Linked DNA regions of Oryzias latipes. The protein of the gene in region 3 purifies or fractionates together with the protein of the main gene of each other region. This does not show direct contact. Links are inferred from orthologs where the notes say so. Each region holds a gene or a part of one and is shown on either strand. Other genes may lie near its edges. The genes, in order: ift57, ift27, cluap1 and ift46.

Region 1 (5,210 bases), on a different chromosome or scaffold from region 3:
TTCCAGCATACCCTGCTCTGGCATGTTCTAATTGGCTGGACACACCTGAACCAGGTAATCAGTCATGAGTAGGGCAAGATTATTGGCTGGACACACCTGAACCAGGTAATCAGCCATGAGTAGGGAAAGGCTATCTTGAAATCATGCAGACACACCGGCCCTCGAGGCCTGGAATTGCCCACCCCTGTGGTAGAAAATGCCTCACTTCCAGCCCCAACCAAAAGAAGTCAATTCAGTCGCCTTTTTTTTTTTGCATAACGGATGCCGCCACGTTGAAACCAAAGGACGTCAGAGTGGTAGGACCGAATCGATCAAAGTCATCATTTCTATGGCAACCACTCTCGCCAATCAGGAGTGAGCTTGTGGAAGTCCACACCCCTAGCACTTTAAAGCCGGCTCGGGAGAATCTGTCAAACGTTTTGAACGTTCAATGTCAGGACACATGCTTTTATTGAGGCACCTGATTGGTCGGTTTATAACTTGAATAAATTGAATCATAGAAGAAATATCAGAGGGAAAAAATTTGGATTATGAAGAACATATTAAAAAGGTATCAGAGCAATAATGGTCATCCTGACACATAGAATGACTGAGTAAGAGTTGTTTATTTATCGATGGAAGTCTTTGGCTTCTTGGAGCCAGCGGGTCCTTCCTATTAGGAACGCGAGGGGGGGGGGGGGGGGGGGCGGAGTCACTCAGTCCAGCTCTCATCTACAGTCAATGGGAGTGCTCTCTCTTGTCTGTATAAAGACAAGTTTTTCTCACATTGTGGAAGTTCCGCAACTTCAGAGACTCCAGATCCATCGCAATTTCCTCCTCATCCTCATCTTCCTCCTGAAGTCACAATTAGAAAACAATCTTTTAAAAAATCAAATACAAGAATGAAAAACAAAAAGGACACCAGTTTTTGCAAAAGCGGCGTTGAAATAAGCTGTCAGCATTTTTCTCTGTGAAGTGCTGACCAATATTTCCTCCTCTGCTGTGCTGAGTGTGACTTCTGCATCGTCCTCCAGCATCGACTCTTCCTCCGGGGTTTCTGACGGGTAATCTGGCCTAAAGGGGAGGAGGGAGAAGAACACTTCATCTCAAACTGGAGCAGCCAGTGAGGCCTCGCTGTTGTCAAATCTGTAAAGTCCCACCACAGTGATCTATCTGATGTACTGTAAAAGTGTCCCCCAGTGTTTTTTTAATTATGATGGTGCAGATTTTAGCCAAAATTAAAAAAAAAAAAGTGTCCTTTACTAGGATATCGTTTCTGCAGAGCAGCAACAGTTCATTAGAAATACACCTTTAAGTTGTGGGGGGGACTATTGGGGCAGAGAAAGCCTGTCCTCATTTCCCATCATCCCTTTGTTTTACACTCTCTTCCACTAGCTTACAGTCCCTCACATCCCCAACCTAACATCACCGGTACAACAAAATATGGGGAGCCATATTGCAGCTTCAGGAAGGTCATTTTATGCTTTACTTTCTTCATATAGGTCTTCTATAATGAGAAAAATGCCACAAAACATTAAAAACACCACAAACACAATTTTAATCGGAGATCTTTAAGGTGTGGCGGCCTGAACTTAACCAAACTGACTTCTGACCACAACCGGTATTGTTGGGACCCAAGAAGAAAGACACTCCAACCTTGCAGCTGTAAAACTGCTTCATTCATTCCAGTCTTGAACTGGCTCCAGTACCAGCCTAGAACCCGTGTCTGGCCCAAAAGATGTCCCAGCGTAAAGCAGAGCAGAAGCACCTTTTGAAGGAGAAGTTTCTCCTCTTCAAAGCCTCGTCGGCCAGTCGGTCCAACACCAAGCAGACGTGCTCGCCTGAGCCCGTCTTCAATTTGGAGGGAGGGAAGTCCACCTTTACGCCCTGAAACCCACCAGGGTCACAGTCAGAGGTCGTCCTCACACATCTGAGATCAGAGTCTAAGTCACACAGAAAGGGACATATTGGATCATCTGCATGTGAAACAGCAGCTCACAAAGGCTCTCAGCTCCGCCAGGATGTTGGACACGGTGGCGTTGGGCTCGTCGTGCTCCCGGGGTTCGGTGAACGGCCTCCCTGCCACGTTGATGAGCCAGGCAGCGATGATGGTGAACATGTAAAACTGCTCACCCGGATTGGAGGACAGGTGGGAGTTGGAGACAAAGTAGTGCCTGGGAAGAGAAGGAAGAAGATACATGAATCACAAGATCAGATCATGTTTGAAATGAAACACATTTAGGAAGACAACTTCAATAATAAGCAGTCTGGAAAGATGTATTACACTTTAGGCATTTATTTGTAGACTTACTGCTATTTTCTTAAGTGTATTTAAAATTGATTTAAAATTGTATAAAAATAAAGATTTAGTGCTCGGGAAAAGTACAAAATGTGATCAAAGCTGTTTTCAACTTTTGTCTTTGTTTTTTTCATTTAACACAATCGACGGTCCAGCTCAGGTTCTGTTCTATTAGCTCTGTTCCGGCAGATATCATCACTGCTTCTTATCGTGTTCTGCTTCAAAACGTCGTCTTCAGGGAGCTGAAATTCAGCTTAAACCCGTCATTTGGCTCGTTTCGTTCCTGACCTGCACACTTTCTTCATGTTGTGTTTGTCCAGAAGCTCCTCGTAGTTCAGAGCGTCGAGCTTTTCTAACAGTCCCTCCATCACCGACACCATCCGGTGAGCGGCTCCCGGGCCCCGCTCATCCTCCTCTGCCATGAGCCCAGCTACTTTTCAAACCGCTTTAAAATCCACTAAAAAAATAAATGTTTTCTGGGGCCTTGTTTGTTCGATTAGCACACGCTGCTCTGCTAGCTCAGGTTGACTGTAGGCCCGTTGCCTAGCAACCGAAAGCTAAGTAGCCCTTTTCTTAACACGTATTTCTTTTTCCTCCCTTTAAACTTTAAATATGCGCATTGAGAATTTGCTCAACAGCAACAAAACAACATTCAAACTGTCTGGAAAACAGAATGGGTGTGACCAAGTTCGAGGGCTCCGTCCTTAGCATAAGAAACTTGGTAGATTTGTTTGCTAACTTGAGTTTGATCTCTTCTTCTGCTAGAATATAGAGTCAAACATCGCCCCCTAGAGGGCGGGAGAGGGACCTGAATATTGGGACTGGGATTTTGTTCTTAAAATGAAAATATCCTTTTTGCATTTACTGAGGCATTTGTACACAAATACACCATGCAAGAAATTCTACTGTTATTTTGATTGTACTATCTTAATCTCAGATTAAAAAAGAAGGTAATTTATGTCCAACAGTGCATGGAGCCATCTAAAAGGCTTAAAGTTAAAGTGCATCATCTTTCTGTTATTCTAAAGTGAAAGGAGCAAAATGAAAATACAAATGTTTAACAACCTGCTGATAGTGGGGAAAAAAAATTCCAAAAAAACCCGTTAAAACTACTTCATTTTTTTTAGGTATGTAGAAGGAACTTAAAATGTAAGGTATTTTGAAACTGAAGGGTCAGCTGTAAATTTACAAGGACATTGGAATTAAGATATTTTCAGATTAAATTGATTTTTTCTTTAATGTTTTATGATGCTGCTCAGGCATTATTATTAAATACGTTTTTTGGGTTTTTTTTTTGCCAACAGGGTGTCTGTGTTTTTCTTTCCTTATAATTTTGACCAATACTGTCATAATTTTGGGTACATATTTTTTGGACAAACTTTTTTATTTTCACATTTATTTTGAAGATTTCTTTTAGAAAAAGGTTGACGGGGTGCATAATCATTACAGTATAACACCCATCATTGTGCTTGTTTCTTTTTTAATACACTTATTGACAAAAAGAAAAAAGGTACGAAAGCAAAATTAAATGGAATTCTTTTTTTTAAAGGAAGCAAAATCTCTACATATAGATAAAAGATAATAAACAGATAATGTCACCTTTAAACTTTGATTAAATTCCTTTACAATTAAATGCATATGGTTTTTTTTTTTTTGGGGGGGGGGGGGGGGGTGTTTCGTTTTTGCACAGAACCTCATAATCTAATTAAATTCCAAAACAATTCCCCAAAAAAGTTTTTCCTATAATGGATTGTGGGTGTTTGTCAGTTTGCCAATAAGTTTGTAAGGAGTTCAAACCTTTAACTTCGGTGTTTTTAAGTAGAAACACATTTGTTCATCATACAGCGTTTAACTTGCAGAACTTTATTGACACAGTAAGATGAGTAACACTTGTCACGGAGAGCGTCTCTGCGTCAGGCTGAAGAGGCCCGACGTCCTTTCAGTGAGACGTTTCTCAAATGGAAAAGTCTCTTCATGTCTTTCCTCCTTTTAAAAACATCTTCTGCATCTGGAGACAAAATGTAGGAAATAATCCTCTGAAGAGGTACAAACAGTAATAGCTTTAGTGTTCACGCGTGACAGAACACGCGAGCGAACGCAGGAGTGGAGGAGGCGTCCTGCCGCTGCTCCCACTTCCATCTGCTTCAAAGCACAGCTCTGAACCTGTAGATGCTCACTGCAGTAGTTCTGAGAGAAAGATCTGACATTTAAAACAAAAGGACACTTTCACAGTCGGGGGGGGGGGACTTCAGAACATGCAGGGGAAAAAAAGGGTAAGAAGTTCCTTCAGTTACAGTGACTCTATGCAGTCGGTCGCACAGACACCAAACCTCAGGTGAATCTGCAGAAACAATCATGCACAGTTTTGAGGAGCGGCTCGCCACAATGTCCCGCTCACATTCAGGGTGAAAGTGTTGGAGCCCAAATGTTAGTTCAATCTGTGCAGAGCGAAGGCCTTAGTCACCGCCGTCTTTACGGGTGGATACGAGCAAACCTGTACGCAGATTTTAAGATTCTAGATTGAAAGTGTTCATACACGTTTTTTTCTAAGGCCATGATCCGAGCAACAGGTCATAGCGAACACTTCCATGTGTACGGGGGAAGTAGGGGAGACGCAGGCGTGTTGTACAGACTTTTTTATTTTTCTTTCTCCCCCCAAATTCCACAGATTGCGATTGGAGTGCCTTCCTTCATCGCTGGAACGCCACTAAGCGTGCGTGCAGACTGACTGTTAGACAGGAGGAAATGAGATCATTAGTTAGCTTGTGTGGACATTCTTCTTACATATATGACCTCCACATCCCGTACACATAGCATTTGCGTGCAGCTCAGTAAGGAGCCAGTAAGTGCACCTAACGACTACAGAGCTGCGTAGAGGTCGCCCTACGACAGCCTCACCCGTACGTCACAAGTGCGTGCAACTTACTTTATT
Region 2 (5,163 bases), on a different chromosome or scaffold from region 3:
ACTATATCATCATAATTAAAAGACAACTGGAAACACGTTTAAAATAGATCAAAAGATGTTTGAAAATGGGACTTGGAAACATTTAAAGCATTTTCCTTTTTTTTGCAAATGTTATGTATAGAAACATAAAACCTAAAACTAGCATCACAAAACGTGAAAGGATAAACATGCTTTTCCAGTGACAGACTAACTGCACTTACTGCATTTCTCCATGTGGTTTATTGACTTATTAAGTACATGTTAAGTACAGATCCTGCTGTAGTCATTTTCACTATTTCACTCTTTCTCTATTCCAATATATGAAAGATGTGGTGTCACAAGATTCTAGTCACGTACAAACAGCAGTTATTAACTAAAGATAGAGGTTGCTTTAAAGTAGGAAGTGTGAATGCAAGGGAATTATGAAGAGGATCACAAAACTTTATTTACATGCATAACATGAATACATTTAGAATCTACTACATAACTTAGCACCAGCCGCTCTTGCCAAAGAAGCACGTGTGAGCGTGTAACCAGATGATCTGTGTGGTGACCGTGTTAATCCCTCTGCGTAAAAGTACCTTAAGTCAGTCAGCCTGCACTGTGAGAGGTTTTAGAGAGAGCAACTTAATACCACACCAAATCATTTACCAACAAACAAAGCTTTCACTGAACTTTAAACAAGGCCTTAAACACACACACACACACACACGTCAACACTAAACCTGAACCTGCTTGGATTTTGTATTTCTAGACATGAACTATTTTCTTTATGTACGTTTCTTTGTTGTATCTATTGTTCCTAAATGCATGTATAGCTGTACTGAGATAGAAGCTTGAATTTTATCTTAATCTTATGTCTCCAATAATTGTTTATCTGTGCTGACCTATTACTGTATTTTACTGCTTTGTTAACATCAAGGCCAGAGGACTGAAGATGAAAAATAGCCTTCTGGTTAATTGTGTGGGCTGCACAGTGGAGCAGTAGTTAGCCCTAGTTCAAACCCAGCTGGGACCTTTCTGTGTGGAGTTAGCATTTTTCCCTGAGCATGCGTGGGTTTTCTCTGGGAACTCTGGCTTCCTCCTACAGTCCAAAAACATGCTTCCCAGGTTAATTGATGACTCTGAATTGCCCTTAGATCTGCACGTGTGCATATGTTCTGCAACAGACTGGGGACCTGTTCTGGCTAGACCCCACCTTCTCTCAATAGTAGCTGGGACAGGCTCCAGCAGGCCCATGACACAAAAGGGGTAGAGCAGATTCAGGAGATGGATGGATGGGTTGATTCTCGCTTTTTAGCTCGTCCTTTAGTTTGTGTTTTAGGAAATTGCATTGCCCCTTTTATATAAGCTTTTTTTTTAATCCAATCCAGTCTAATAGAATTAATAATTAATAATACATCATTAAATATTTTGGATATAGAGTTTAAAAAAAAGATAAAAAATGTAGTAAAATAGTCAGTATTCGTAGTGTAGCTTCATGCATTATATACAGTCTGGGCCATAAATATTTGGACATATTTGCATAAAAATGTGAAAAACTAAAGCATTTTTTTAAACACAATCCCTTCATTTCATGGGCTCGTAAGTAATTTGACAAATGAAATAACTGAAAACAAAATCGTCATTACTAATACTAATATTTCAGTTGCTGTTTGTTTGTGGGCAGATGGACAACGACCCAAAACAAACAGCCAAAGCAACTCAGGAGTTTATTAAAGCAAAGAAGTGGAATTTTCTTGAATGGCCAAGTCAGTCACCTGATCTTAACCCAATTAAGCATGCATTTCACTTGTTGGAGACTAAACTTCAGACAGAAAGGCCCACGAACAAACAGCAACTGAAAGCCGCTGCAGAAAACCCAGCATCTGGTGATGTCCATGAGTTCAATCCTTCAGGCTGTCATTGCCAACAAAGGGTTTTCAACCAAATATTAGTAATGACCATTTTGTTTTCAGTTATTTCATTTGTCCAATTACTTACAAGCCCATGAAATGAAGGGATTGTGTTTAAAAAATGCTTTAGTTTTTCATATTTGTATGCAATCATTTTGTTCAACCCATGGAATGAAAGCTGAAAGTATGAACTTCAATGGCATCTGAGTTGTCTTATTTAAAATTCACTGTTGTAATGTACAGAAACAAAATTAGAAAGAAGGTGTCTCTGTCCAAATATTTATGGTACTGACTGTAAAAAGCAAATTAAAGCAAGTAAGGTGGAATATTAGTGTGTGAAAGCTCCCAGAGACTAACAAATAATAGTGTATCTGTCTTGTTCTATTTTACAAAAAAGAAAAGAAAAGAAACACAATCTAATCACATATGATGGCAGCAAAAAATGATCAGTCCATCATTCCAGTCCAATGTGTGAAAACACTTTGAAGTGTGGATGAATGCTCTTATAATGTTCCCTTTGCATTATTTTAATTTGGAAAAACAACAGTGGGCTGAACTTTATGGGGCTAAAATATGAATGGATTTGCCATAAATTCTTGTTCACTTGTTTGTTTTTAATTTAAACTTGATTATAATGAAAGATATATATTTATTAGTGGCACTGGTTGAATTTTTGGCTAAAGATGCCTCAGATCGATTTTAGGTCAGTGAATCAGATCAAATCGGATCTTCAAAATGAACCAAAATCGACTAAGAATCAGAATGTCAACCAAAAATTATCATATGAATCGATTTGTTGTTAAAATGAATCCTTACACCCACCCAACCAGATTTGTAAAATCCTCACTAAACCAGCTAATAACCACTTCTATTGACTGAGACGTAATAATATAAAAGAGTTCTTTGGGCCAAAGCATGTTCCACTAAACACCCCACATTGAAAGTAATATGAGAAGCCCCCTGCATTTGCCTCAGGGTAACAGAACGAAACACTAGTTAGTTAAATGAAACCCTCGTCATACCATACTATAGTTCTTCAGAGTTCCATCACTGCAGATGAGAGAGCTTTTTCCCACAGCGGCATCACCTTCACACACAGACAAAAACACAAGGAATGAGGACATTCAGGGAGGAAAGGGGCTGTAGTATTATTCTAGAAGCTTCTTAACTGAGTCAGTGCGCATGCTAGCGAAACATCCATCACACAATAAACACATTAAACTTAACCAGACTGTTTCCTTCCCGCACACAGAACCAAGCAAAGAGTCTGCAAGATATAACACATATCTGCTAGTCCTTAACACTCTTTAGCTGCCTTTTTACCCTAAAGCAGTGTCAACTCTTTTTAATTAGCATTAGCCTGTTTCGTTTACATCGCAGAAAAGTTACAAACTTACCAACAAGCAGGCATTTGGCCCTCAATTTCATTATTGCATTGGATAAAAACTGTCAGTAATATCGTATTATCTTACTTATAAGGCTAAATTTAGCTAAATTTCTGAGGGGGATTAGCGCTATTTTATATACATTCTGCCATTCGACTCAGCAACATGGATTAAATTCGTCTCCCAGCAACCAGCCACAGTGGCGCTTATTGGTTAGTTAGCTGCAACGTAACCGAAAAATCTGTGCACTCGTTGGCTGAGAATAAATACTGTTGATAGAGCATTATTCCCCAGAGTAAGGTCTGTCAGGCAAAGATACTTGAACCAGGAACAACCTACCTATACATCATAATTACAGTTTGCAATAATTTCCGTCAAACACTATTGTATAAAATGTGAAAGTAAAGGAAATTTTTATTTAAACCTAAGTAAATAGGAATAAAAGTGAAGAATGGCCACAAGGGGGCAGAATTGTTAGAACTTCAACATACCTTTATTGGCTTAAATTGCATGCATTTTTTTCTAAAACAGACATATTTCTTTAGTTAAACATGACCAACAATATTTATTGAGGAATGTATACTGTTCATTATGTGAGATGAATAGCGAAGCGCGTGACACAAAGATCTCGTGAGCTCCAGCGCGTGTCCGTGTCGACTTTTTTGCGCTGTTTTGATCTGAGTGCGCGCTCCAGCGCAATTCAACAAGCACACTGTGAGGCGTGATAAGCGAGGCGCGTTCACGTGGGTGCCACTGGCTACAACACTGACAGCATCACCAAAACACCGGCTTCCTCCGTCCACACTCGACCTAACAACAGCCAATTTAGAGGTTTATCTGAACGCAGAAACAGGAGTGGAGAGCAGAGCCTCCGCGACAGAAACTAATCCCTCCTTGCAGGCAGACGCAGGACTTGTAGTACTAGTGGCTGCAGTAGCTGAGCGGTGGATCTATTTGTTTTTGTGGTTTCGCGTCGGTGCTCCACGCACACGCCGTGTCTTTGAAGTGGAAGTGGGGAGAGGAAGAGCATCTCAGTGGCGGCTGTCAAGAGAGGAGGAGGACAATGGAGGGGATGCAGGCATACGGAGCCGGGAAAGCCGGCGGAGGAGCCTTCGACCCTGTCACCTTCCTCCAGCAGCCACAGACCATTCTCCGCATAGTGTCTTGGGTAAGAAAGCAGTCCTGCAGAGGCCACAACTTAAATAGTATAAGTACTACTTCTTTACCATATTTGCTGTTTTCTTTATTAACGAAAACAAATATGCATAAACTGCTTTACAACTTTATTTATATTTTTGGAAATTATCATTTGAATTTAAATTTAGTGATTATCATCATTTAATGTAATCACTGGGTATCTTGTCTGTTCACAAATCAGCAATTAATGTATCTTTTTTTATATATAATAATTTGTTAAAAAACAGTTTAGGGTGAAACTATTTAAAAGGATTTCACAATAAAAGTTCTCTTGACTGTTTTTATCCGCACAGGAAGCAACATTTAAAAAAGTAGGCTATAATTATGAGGCATATTCAACACGTTTCCACATTCAAACGTTTAATACTGTAGGGGAAGTTCTTACCTTTAATGGGAAACCAAGTTTTAATTGACCATATTTGGTGTACTTAAAATGTGATAATAAATAAACCCAAACTCATTTAAATAACTATTGTGAAAAATCAGCTTGTGTGCTCAAATAAACATCACAGACAGGAGCTTAATCTGGGCCCAAGAAAGCCTTAAGTCCATTGTGTTTATAATAAAATGTTATCTACAATGACAAAGGTGTTTAGTGAGACAAGAGAAGAAAAAAATCTTTTTAGCCACTCTTGACAATAGTCTCTAAAATGATGTGAGCATTCTATCCCAAATTGATGCTGAATTTCCAAATAAACTCAGATTTA
Region 3 (4,408 bases):
GTGAGAAAAGCACAATATGTGTTTTTTAATATCATTCACTTGTCTGTTATTGTTGCCTATGTTACTTAAAGAAGCCATGTAACACAAATATTTGATGATGGCATGATGTGTCTTTGTTTTCATAAACAGCTTTCAAAAACAATTGCAATCCTTCTTTCTGACAAATATATCAACACCAGTAACGATTAAGATCATTTGTGCTTCTTTCTCACAGGAAAGGAGAACTGTCGCCATCGCGCGACCCCTCGACATAAATGAAACCGAAAAGGCCCTGAGAGCTGCCACCAAGGACGTTTTGGTTAGTGGACGTATTTTCTGAAACAAATTTTCTTTTTCCTCGTCCGCTTACACTATTTAAAACAAAAGCATTTCATCAGCTGTGTTCACTTTTTCAGTTTTTTTTCTTCTGTTTTCTAGGAAAATGTGGCTAAAACAAAAGACATGTTGAACAATGTTGTGTCTGATGAAGCCAGTTTAGATGCCAAGATAGAAAGGAAGAAACAGGATCTGGAGAGGCATCAAAAGAGGCTCCAGACCCTGCAGAGTGTCAGGTCTGCGGTGTGATGAAGAGCACAGATACTAGAAGAGAAATGACAGATTCTTTTATTTACCAAATGCAGCCTGTTTTATAGAAGGATAATTGTTCTTCCTTTTCTCCTTCAGGCCAGCATTCATGGATGAATATGAGAAGATAGAAGAGGAGCTGAAGAAGCAATATGACCTTTACGAGAAGAAATTCCGAAACCTCAGCTTTCTGGAGTCTCAGCTGGAGGAACACCACAGACTAGAAAAGGAAAGGTTTGAGGTACGGATATAGAAGCACTGAGGGCTTCTCATTAGTTTCTTTTAAATTGAGTTTTTGATTAATAATAAACATTTCAAATATGTTTGCCTCAGTCAAATGTGACACTGTCTCTTTAATGCTAGAAAACCAGAATATATTTTTTTCTTCCATTACTTTTTTAGACAAAGATAATAAAAGCAAAAGATAACTGTTCTTTGAGTGCAGAAGGATCTGTTTTTTTCTGCAGAAAATGATTAAAAGTGCTTCACTTTCCATGGTCTGTGTCGCCTCTTTTGTAGGAAGCTGAAAACACTCTGAGGATAATGCAGCACAAACTGAGAGAGGAGAAACTTGACCTGATGAGGGGCTCCTGTGAGATCAAACACACACTTTAAGCAAAGTCCCATGTCCCAAATATCTTTAGCTCAAAGCAGTTTCTTGATTATTTCTTCTGAAGTGACAAATGAAGACTCTGACTTGGGCGTCATTGAGGATGAAGGTTCCGACAGCGACCTTGAAGAATCTCGGCCTTCAAAGCCGCGGCCCATGAGAAACGGCCTCATGACTGGTAAGCAGACAGCTTGAAGAAGAACATAATCTCTCAACGTGTACATAGTAAACCAACCTTAAAAAAGGAGAAAAAAGCGTTCATTTAGGTTTTCTCAAAGGAAAACTTGGATTCTAAAACTTGGTTGAACTGCTAAATGTCAAAGAGACTGTACCCCATGATCCCAGCTCCCACAGTGCAAAAAGTATACACCAACCACCAAAAGAGTACAGGTTGTCTGTTAATAACAAAGCCATTCGCACTCTATTGCCTTATATTTTATAGTTTTAACCTTTGATTGAGCTTAAGCGTAATTGAGCTTTGAAGCAGGAGAAGTGGAGCCTTTCAATTGCAGAAAAAAACTTTATGAAAACTAAGATGATGACATATATAAAGAGACCTTAGAACTGTGAGCAGAAAGGAAATTTTCTCTATTATTTTAAGCATTAAAAAAATCTCTGTTTAAAGTGTTCCTCTGTGCTTTACACAGAATGTGTTTAGAGATAGTTTTGACCATCTTTACCATTATCAGTTCACTTTTAAGTTGTGTCTGAATTCCTTCACTACTCACTATTTATTGCACTAAAGAGTGCGATAAATCACCATTTTGTGAGCTGTCCGAAAACAATTCCAAAATTCAGTGCCCTTTGGAAGTCTCTGCAAAAAACTAGTGTGCATCAATGCTCACTAGATTGGCAAATGTAGACCACAATGCATTGCATTTGAATGTTTTTTTTCATGTGAAAAAACATATTCAAATTCATTTTTTATAAATCATTCAAGTCTTTTTTAGCAGAACCCAGTGGATTCATAAATAGTATTTGTAAAGAAGAATTTCTGGAAATTGATGATGTCACATTTGCCGTTTAAAAGAAACACATGAGGATGATGTCCGAACTGTTTTTAAAATCCAGTCCCACACTATATGGATGCTATGGAGTAGTGAGGGAATTTGGACCTTGTCTTAAAGTTATTTAATCCCAAAATTTAAAGCTAAAACGTAAAAAAAAAAATCCAGAAAATCCATGAAACTCTGGTTCTCAAAAATGCTTTTTTTTTCTTTTCCAACAAGGGAGAGGAGGACTTTTTATTGGTAACATGCAGGGTGGTGACAGCGATGAGGTTAGTGATGTTCTTACTCACATTGCTTCCTTCATATTCATTCCATGGGCTGAGACTTCCAACATTCAAAGGATTTATCGCTTTTTGCCTTTTGCAACTTTTGATGGTAATTCAACTTTACCTGATGTCCAGTTATCCTGTGTTTTCTGCTGACCTCACCACTTAGTCTTTTTTCATTAATGTTTACTCATATCTCATAAGGTATTTTTACCAGTGTCCAAAACATCAGTCCCTCAGTTCAAAAAACACCCGAAAGGAAAGGTTTGTGCAAGACAAACGCCCACTTTATGTTTTTTTTCCAGCTCCTTGTGTATTTGAAGGAAAAATCAATCCTCAAAGTAAATGTTGGGAAATATTTATACTACTTACAGAAGTTAAAAATGTCAGTAATATTCATTGAACATGCTTTGCAGACAAGAGCTTGAATAAGAGAAAAGGTGCTGTCGCATTTTTTCCATAAAACATCAGAGTATCATCAGAACGAGCTGCACCAACACTTCTCACTTTTGAGCTAAAGGTGGATTTTTCCTTTAAATGACTTGAGTTTTCTGTTCACGCTAAAAGGCTAGTGTGTCCTGTCTAAAGTAGTGGAAACATTTGACCTGGTTATGTGTTTAGCTAAATAATCAAAGCATAGATTCCCATGTGATTCTACAGCCTGTGTGCAGAACCCGTCGAGTTTCTCCTGTTAGATTTGACTGCTCAGAACAGACTATTGCTCATGACTTTATCCCTGTTAATCTAGACTGATGACAGTGAAATCGATGTGGACGACGACGATGATGAGGAAGATGAGGAAAGAGAGGAGGAGAGCAAGGATTTGGAGGATGATAGTTTCGAAGGTCCCATGTCTAGAAACAACCGTCCTTCAATTGGAGCAGTGAGGCCTGCTCTGCTGGATGAAAGTGATAATGACTTTTAAGAAAAGAGCTCACCAAATTCTATAATTTGTCTGTTTCTAACTTGTATTTTAAGTTGGACCATGATATCAGCTTATCTCAAACGTATAAACATTGTTATTTACAGCATATATGTGGAGTGAAAATAGCCTCAACGGATTTGAGACTATTTTCTCTTCACTTTATGATGTAGCTCTTGTTTTTGACTGTATGAACTATCAAAATCCCTAACTGCATAGTAGTTTTGTTGTCTGTTTGTAATTCTTAAATTATTTTAAAGCCTTTTAATACATAAAAAAATAAAGAAATGGTTGATGTTTCCTTTTATGATGGAAAAGTAAAAAGCCTTTATCTAATTATTTGTTGTACTTATTATAGACATTGTCTATTTTTTTGTTTTGTGCCCACTACAATAGACACAGAAAGACTTAATTATTAATATTTCCAAAACGTTTTGACTTAAATCAGTGTGAATACAGTTTTTTTTTTTTTACAAATTTATTACCGATAAGTATAAACGCAATTACAAAACATGAATGAGTGCAAGTTTTTTTTTTCCCCAGATGCTTATTGTAAATATCAGGTAAAGTCCAAAGATATCAATATACATTGTACATTAATGCAAACTTATAAATAAAGAATGACATAAAATGAAATGCCAGTAAGAATAAATAAAAGTACAGAATGAGTGTGTAAAACAATGTTTGACATAACATTACAATTTTTTTTAAAACAATTTTATTTTGTAAAATAAAGGACGTTTTAAAACTTTTTGAAAAAGTAATTTATTTAGCAAAAATGTATTTAAAAAAAATAATTGAGATTTAGTTGGAAAATGTACATTTATACATGTAAAAATTAGAGTGGAAAAATTTGATTAAAACTTAACTCCTGTTGATGGAAACCAAACAATATACGTTTTAAGCAAAGAAAAGGGGACCATACATTTCTTTGTAACTAAAGATAATATCACAGAAAATTTGCCAAAAAGATTTTAGTGGGTTTAATTATACGTTTTTTGCAGGATAACATCGATTGCAGAAAAATATTTTTTTT
Region 4 (5,126 bases), on a different chromosome or scaffold from region 3:
GAACCCAGCAGGTTCTGAACTCCAGAACCACAGAGATGTCCTCAGAGTCAAAATGTCGTTTCTCCGTCTGTCCCGTCCAACTCTTCTGTTTTGAATCTGTGCAGACGAGGCCGACGGGGAAGCCGGACCTTCCGGTCCCACCGAACCCGTCCAAGAGAAGGACAGCAGGATCCCGGAGAGCAGGCTGTGAAGCTCCATGGAGGAGCGGCGGCGCTGATTTCCCGCCATGACGCGGCGTTTGGATGAAGGATGAGGGACGTCTGTCTTTGCTTTGGTCCTCTAGTCCAAATGTTACAGATCTGACAAGGTTCTGGTTTTAAACAGAAGCATGTTTTTTTTTGGTGTTGAGTTTGAATTAAAGATCAAAGGAGCTGAATTCCAGCTGGTCCAAAGTGTGTTCTCCCTCTGTGTTGATGGTTCCTCAGCTGGGATCCTGTCCTGGTTCCAGTTCTTCACTCCGCTGTAGCGGGTTAAAGGTCATAGTCTCTGAGTCCGACAGGGAGACCACCTGTCCTCATGGCCCTCTGGACTCAGGGTTCTCTGGATTCAGGGTTCTCTGGATTCAGGGTTCTCTGGATTCAGGGTTCTCTGGACTCAGGGTTCTCTGGACTCAGGGTTCTCTGGATTCAGGGTTCTCTGGACTCAGGGTTCTCTGGATTCAGGGTTCTCTGGATTCAGGGTTCTCTGGATTCAGGGTTCTCTGGACTCAGGGTTCTCTGGACTCAGGGTTCTCTGGATTCAGGGATTTCTGGACTCAGGGTTCTCTGGACTCAGGGATTTCTGGACTCAGGGTTCTCTGGACTCAGGGTTCTCTGGACTCAGGGTTCTCTGGGGGTTCTTCTCAAAGTGGATTCTCTAATCAGCTGCAACATGTGAAGCAGAAATCATGACGAGATTCCAAATCTGTAGAAGTACATGAATGGAATGAACCAAAACGATGAAGTAAACTCAAACGCAGGTTTTTGTGGAGATTTGAAATCAGAGAAACAGATTGGAAGACTTTCCTCCTCTTCCTCCTATTCTCTCTGCAGACAGAAAGCTGTCAAATTCCTCCTGAAAAACTGTAATCTGATTACACTCCTCGACACGTTCATCAGTTTAGCGATAGAATCAAATGTCAAATTCAGACAAAAATGACATTTAAATAAGTATCATTTATCTTCCACCACTGCAAAATCTAAAACCACGTTTTTATTGTTGGAAAACAGATTTTTACTGACATGATGGTGGAAACATTGATGGAAAATTTTCATTGAGCTGTTTGAGGTTCTATTTGAGGTTCTGTTTGAGGTTCTGCTTGAGGTTCTGCTTGAGGTTCTGCCAATGAACTGGAGGATCTGTTTGGGTTCTTCCACACAGTTAGCTAAACACAGATTGTAGTTCTTATGGATTTAAACTACAAAGGATTTATTTTACTTCATTCATTTCCTCAAATATTTAAATAAAACTCTTTTATTTCAAAAGTTTAAACATTTCTAGTGTGAAAATGCTGAATAAACTGAAATCTTTTCATTAAAAAACAGTTTTTTTACTGGAATTCCACATTATAACTACATTACCCATAATGCCTTGTGGGATCCGTTGCCAGGATACTGTCGGTATTTCCGGTAACCCTCAGAAACAAACGCGTAACGGTGCTAACGTTAGCTTAGCCGTTCTTCGGAACCGAACCGGCGCTCAGAGGTTCTGCAGGTAAGCCCGGACCGGGTCCATGGACCGGGCCAGAGGGCCCAGACTGCTGCGGAACCAGCCGTACGACGAGAGCCTGGAGGCGGACGGAGAGGAGCGGAGCCTCCGCAGCCCGGAGCCCGGAGGACCGCGGCAGGTAGGAGGCCGGAACCGGGGTCCAGTTAGGGCCCGAGAATTTGGAAGGACTGTTGCCATGGCAACAGCTGCAAGACGCAGCAGCATGTGGGGGTGGGGGCGTGAAGAGGTTCTGCATCAAAGTTCTCGGTGTAGGTACCACACCGGTTCTACGCTGACTAACACACACACACACACACACACACCCACACACACACACACACACACACACACACACACACACACGCGCGAGGCATCCTTTTAACATTTTTTATAACATTTTACACAACATGAATGCATTTTCTAGACTCATATTACGGGGGGGGGGTCAAACTCAGTCCCACTGGGGGCCTAAATCCAGAACACTCTGGGTTTTGGTAAAACTCTGGTAACCCTTAAATAACGTTTAATATTTTGCTCTCCATAAAAACATATTCTGTCAAAATTATGCAAACATGAAGATGCTGCAGAACAAAACAAACAAACCTGGAAATATTAATAATAAGAAATAACAAATCACGTCTTTCCGTTTTCTTTGCTCCTTTATCATTTTTTAGAGCTGGACTCCTGCATCATTTTAGCATTAATTTCTTGGTGTGTGTCGTTCTGTGTGTGTCTTTGTGAAACACATCAGAGGGATTGGATAAAAAACAAATTACTGTGAATATTATTTTTAGCTCTTATAAAACATTAAAAACTAAAACATAGAACTCATCAGTGGGATTACTCCAAAAATATTTAGCATTTCCCTCATTTTGTGCGACATCAACAGTAGAAATCCTCCAAAAACCTCAGTCCATAAAAATGATCTCTAGTTTATTGATGATCTGATAAAGTGCAGCTGTTCTCCTGCTGCCTGTCTGTCAGATACTGACACCAGCTGAATAATAAACCATAGTCAGTAAATAATGACATTATTAACAGCTGCTGACTGATCAACAGCACGCCATGATGCAGGTGTTGCGTAATCGCATTTCTCGCAGCCTGCACCCACTACCCCTCCCCTTTGCCTTCTCTAAGACAGGAGCGCAGAACTGCAGGGGGGGGGGGGGGGGGACCTGGTTCCAGGCTGTTTCAAAGTCTGTGAAATAACAGATGATAGCAAACCGACAGAGGCACAATTTACTTTTCTTCCAAGCAGGAGGAGGCTTTTATTGTGAAAGAACCCAGACACCAAAGCCAGAACCAAGTCCAGTTTCTGCATCCGTGACCGCCCCCCCTGTTGGTTCTTAACGGTTCAGAACCTTTCAGACCCGGTTCTGCTCCTCTCAGTCAGAGCTGGGGGCTCGGCGGCGGGTCCGCAGCCTGATGTCGGCCCGCAGCAGCAGCGACGAGTTTGACGAGGAGCCGCGGCCCCAGAGGGCCACAGAGCCGGCAGCCAGGTCCCACCCGGGGGCCAGTCCCAACGAGGAGGAAGAGGAGGAAGAGGAGGAGGAGGAGTCCGACTCTGAGGACTCTGATGAGGATGAAGACGATGAGTCCTCGCAGGCTCTGGAGTACGACCCGGCGGACTACGCCAACCTGCCCGTCAGCACCGACATCAAGGAGCTGTTCCAGTACATCACACGGTAGGGCCTCCCCACGTGCACGGTCTACACACGTGCACGCTCTGACCTTCGTCTCCTCAGGTACACTCCTCAGAGCTTCGATCTGGAGCTCCGCCTCAAACCCTTCATCCCAGACTTCATCCCGGCTGTGGGCGACATCGACGCCTTCCTGAAGGTACAAACACTCCCACGGTCCAGACGGTTCTGGTTCTGTTCTGTCTGACGGCACCCTGCTCTGCCATCTTCTGTTGGTCAGTGATCCAGGTGATTAGCCATGGGTGGAGCCAGAGGATCTGGTTAAGCCCCTCCCCTAAGGCCACCGAAGTTTGAGTTCTAGTGGTTCCGGTTGTTTCACTGACCCAGAGTCAGTAATAGTGTATGGACCCATGCAGACCATGATGTTCTGATCTGGTTTCAGTTCCTCCTGAACCAGCAGTTCCAATCTGCTGAGAAAGAAGTAGTTGTTCAGAACCAGAACCAGAACTGGAGCAGAACCACGACCCAGCCCAGCTGGGCCCCTCTAAGAATGTGCTTGTGTGGCGTTCAGGTCCCCCGTCCAGATGGGAAACCAGACTCTCTGGGTCTTCTGGTTCTTGATGAACCCAGTGTGAAACAGTCAGACCCAACGGTTCTGTCGCTGTGGCTGTCCGAAGAGAGCAAGCAACACGGAAGTGCTCAGGTACACACACCTGCTGGGAAACACACACCTGCAGACACACACCTGCAGACACACACCTGCAGACACACACCTGCAGGCACACACCTGCAGACACACACCTGCAGGCACACACACACACCTGTAAACACACACACCTGCAGACACACACCTGCAGACACACACCTGCAGGCACACACCTGCAGACACACACACACCTGTAGACACACACACCTGCAGACGCACACCTGTAGACACACACCTGCAGACACACACCTGCAGACACACACGCACCTGTAGACACACACACCTGCAGACACACACTTGTAGACACACACCTGTAGACACACACACACCTTTAGACACACACCTGTAGACACACACACACACCTGTAGACACACACACACCTGTAGACACACACCTGTAGACACACACACACCTGTAGACACACACACACCTGTAGACACACACCTGTAGACACACACACACCTGTAGACACACACACACCTGTAGACACACACCTGTAGACACACACAAACCTGTAGACACACACCTGTAGACACACACACACCTATAGACACACACACCTGTAGACACACACCTGTAGACACACACATGCAGACACACACCTGTAGACACACACACACCTGTAGACACACACACACCTGAAGACACACCTGTAGACACACACACACCTGTAGACACACACACCTGCAGACGCACACCTGCAGACATACACACACCTGTAGACACACACCTGCAGACACACACCTGCAGACACACACATGTAGACACACACACACCTGTGTAGACACACACACACCTGTGTAGACACACACACACCTGTAGACACAAACCTGCAGACACACACCTGCAGACACACACACCTGTAGACACACACACACCTGTGTAGACACACACACACCTGTAGACACACACCTGCAGACACACACCTGTAGACACACACACACCTGTAGACACACACACCTGTAGACACACACACGTGTAGACACACACACACCTGTAGACACACACCTGCAGACACACACCTGCAGACACACACCTGTAGACAAACACATGCAGACACACACTTGTAGACACACACCTGTAGACACACACA

Evidence for each region.
Region 1: the proteins of cluap1 (region 3) and ift57 purify together in Homo sapiens (affinity purification with mass spectrometry; 4 studies listed by BioGRID and IntAct, counting the BioPlex papers as one, with this or other methods). This does not show direct contact. The link is inferred for Oryzias latipes from reciprocal best matches to the Homo sapiens genes CLUAP1 and IFT57.
Region 2: the proteins of cluap1 (region 3) and ift27 purify together in Homo sapiens (affinity purification with mass spectrometry; 3 studies listed by BioGRID and IntAct, with this or other methods). This does not show direct contact. The link is inferred for Oryzias latipes from reciprocal best matches to the Homo sapiens genes CLUAP1 and IFT27.
Region 4: the proteins of cluap1 (region 3) and ift46 purify together in Homo sapiens (affinity purification with mass spectrometry; 3 studies listed by BioGRID and IntAct, with this or other methods). This does not show direct contact. The link is inferred for Oryzias latipes from reciprocal best matches to the Homo sapiens genes CLUAP1 and IFT46.

The regions. Positions count from the first base shown.
Region 1 is NC_019875.2:10,101,544-10,106,753, forward strand, and holds the start of ift57 (intraflagellar transport protein 57 homolog), read right to left. Parts: upstream 3,078-5,210; 5' UTR 2,701-3,077; coding exon 2,567-2,700; intron 2,154-2,566; coding exon 1,979-2,153; intron 1,867-1,978; coding exon 1,748-1,866; intron 1,054-1,747; coding exon 963-1,053; intron 835-962; coding exon 766-834; intron 1-765. UniProt on the Homo sapiens protein: Required for the formation of cilia. Plays an indirect role in sonic hedgehog signaling, cilia being required for all activity of the hedgehog pathway.
Region 2 is NC_019859.2:24,930,966-24,936,128, reverse strand, and holds the start of ift27 (intraflagellar transport protein 27 homolog), read right to left. Parts: upstream 3,459-5,163; 5' UTR 3,303-3,458; coding exon 3,272-3,302; intron 2,962-3,271; coding exon 2,897-2,961; intron 1-2,896. Other genes in the region: syngr1 (synaptogyrin-1), read left to right, coding at 4,323-4,427. UniProt on the Homo sapiens protein: Small GTPase-like component of the intraflagellar transport (IFT) complex B that promotes the exit of the BBSome complex from cilia via its interaction with ARL6. Not involved in entry of the BBSome complex into cilium. Prevents aggregation of GTP-free ARL6.
Region 3 is NC_019862.2:10,330,909-10,335,316, forward strand, and holds the end of cluap1 (clusterin-associated protein 1), read left to right. Parts: intron 1-214; coding exon 215-298; intron 299-417; coding exon 418-551; intron 552-663; coding exon 664-805; intron 806-1,083; coding exon 1,084-1,156; intron 1,157-1,241; coding exon 1,242-1,352; intron 1,353-2,403; coding exon 2,404-2,453; intron 2,454-3,198; coding exon 3,199-3,375; 3' UTR 3,376-3,663; downstream 3,664-4,408. UniProt on the Homo sapiens protein: Required for cilia biogenesis. Appears to function within the multiple intraflagellar transport complex B (IFT-B). Key regulator of hedgehog signaling.
Region 4 is NC_019876.2:248,612-253,737, reverse strand, and holds the start of ift46 (intraflagellar transport protein 46 homolog), read left to right. Parts: upstream 1-1,583; 5' UTR 1,584-1,711; coding exon 1,712-1,825; intron 1,826-2,941; exon of another isoform or gene 2,942-3,075; coding exon 3,076-3,371; intron 3,372-3,431; coding exon 3,432-3,525; intron 3,526-3,897; coding exon 3,898-4,029; intron 4,030-5,126. Other genes in the region: sodium/hydrogen exchanger 9B2, read left to right, coding at 105-190. UniProt on the Homo sapiens protein: Forms part of a complex involved in intraflagellar transport (IFT), the bi-directional movement of particles required for the assembly, maintenance and functioning of primary cilia. May play a role in chondrocyte maturation and skeletogenesis.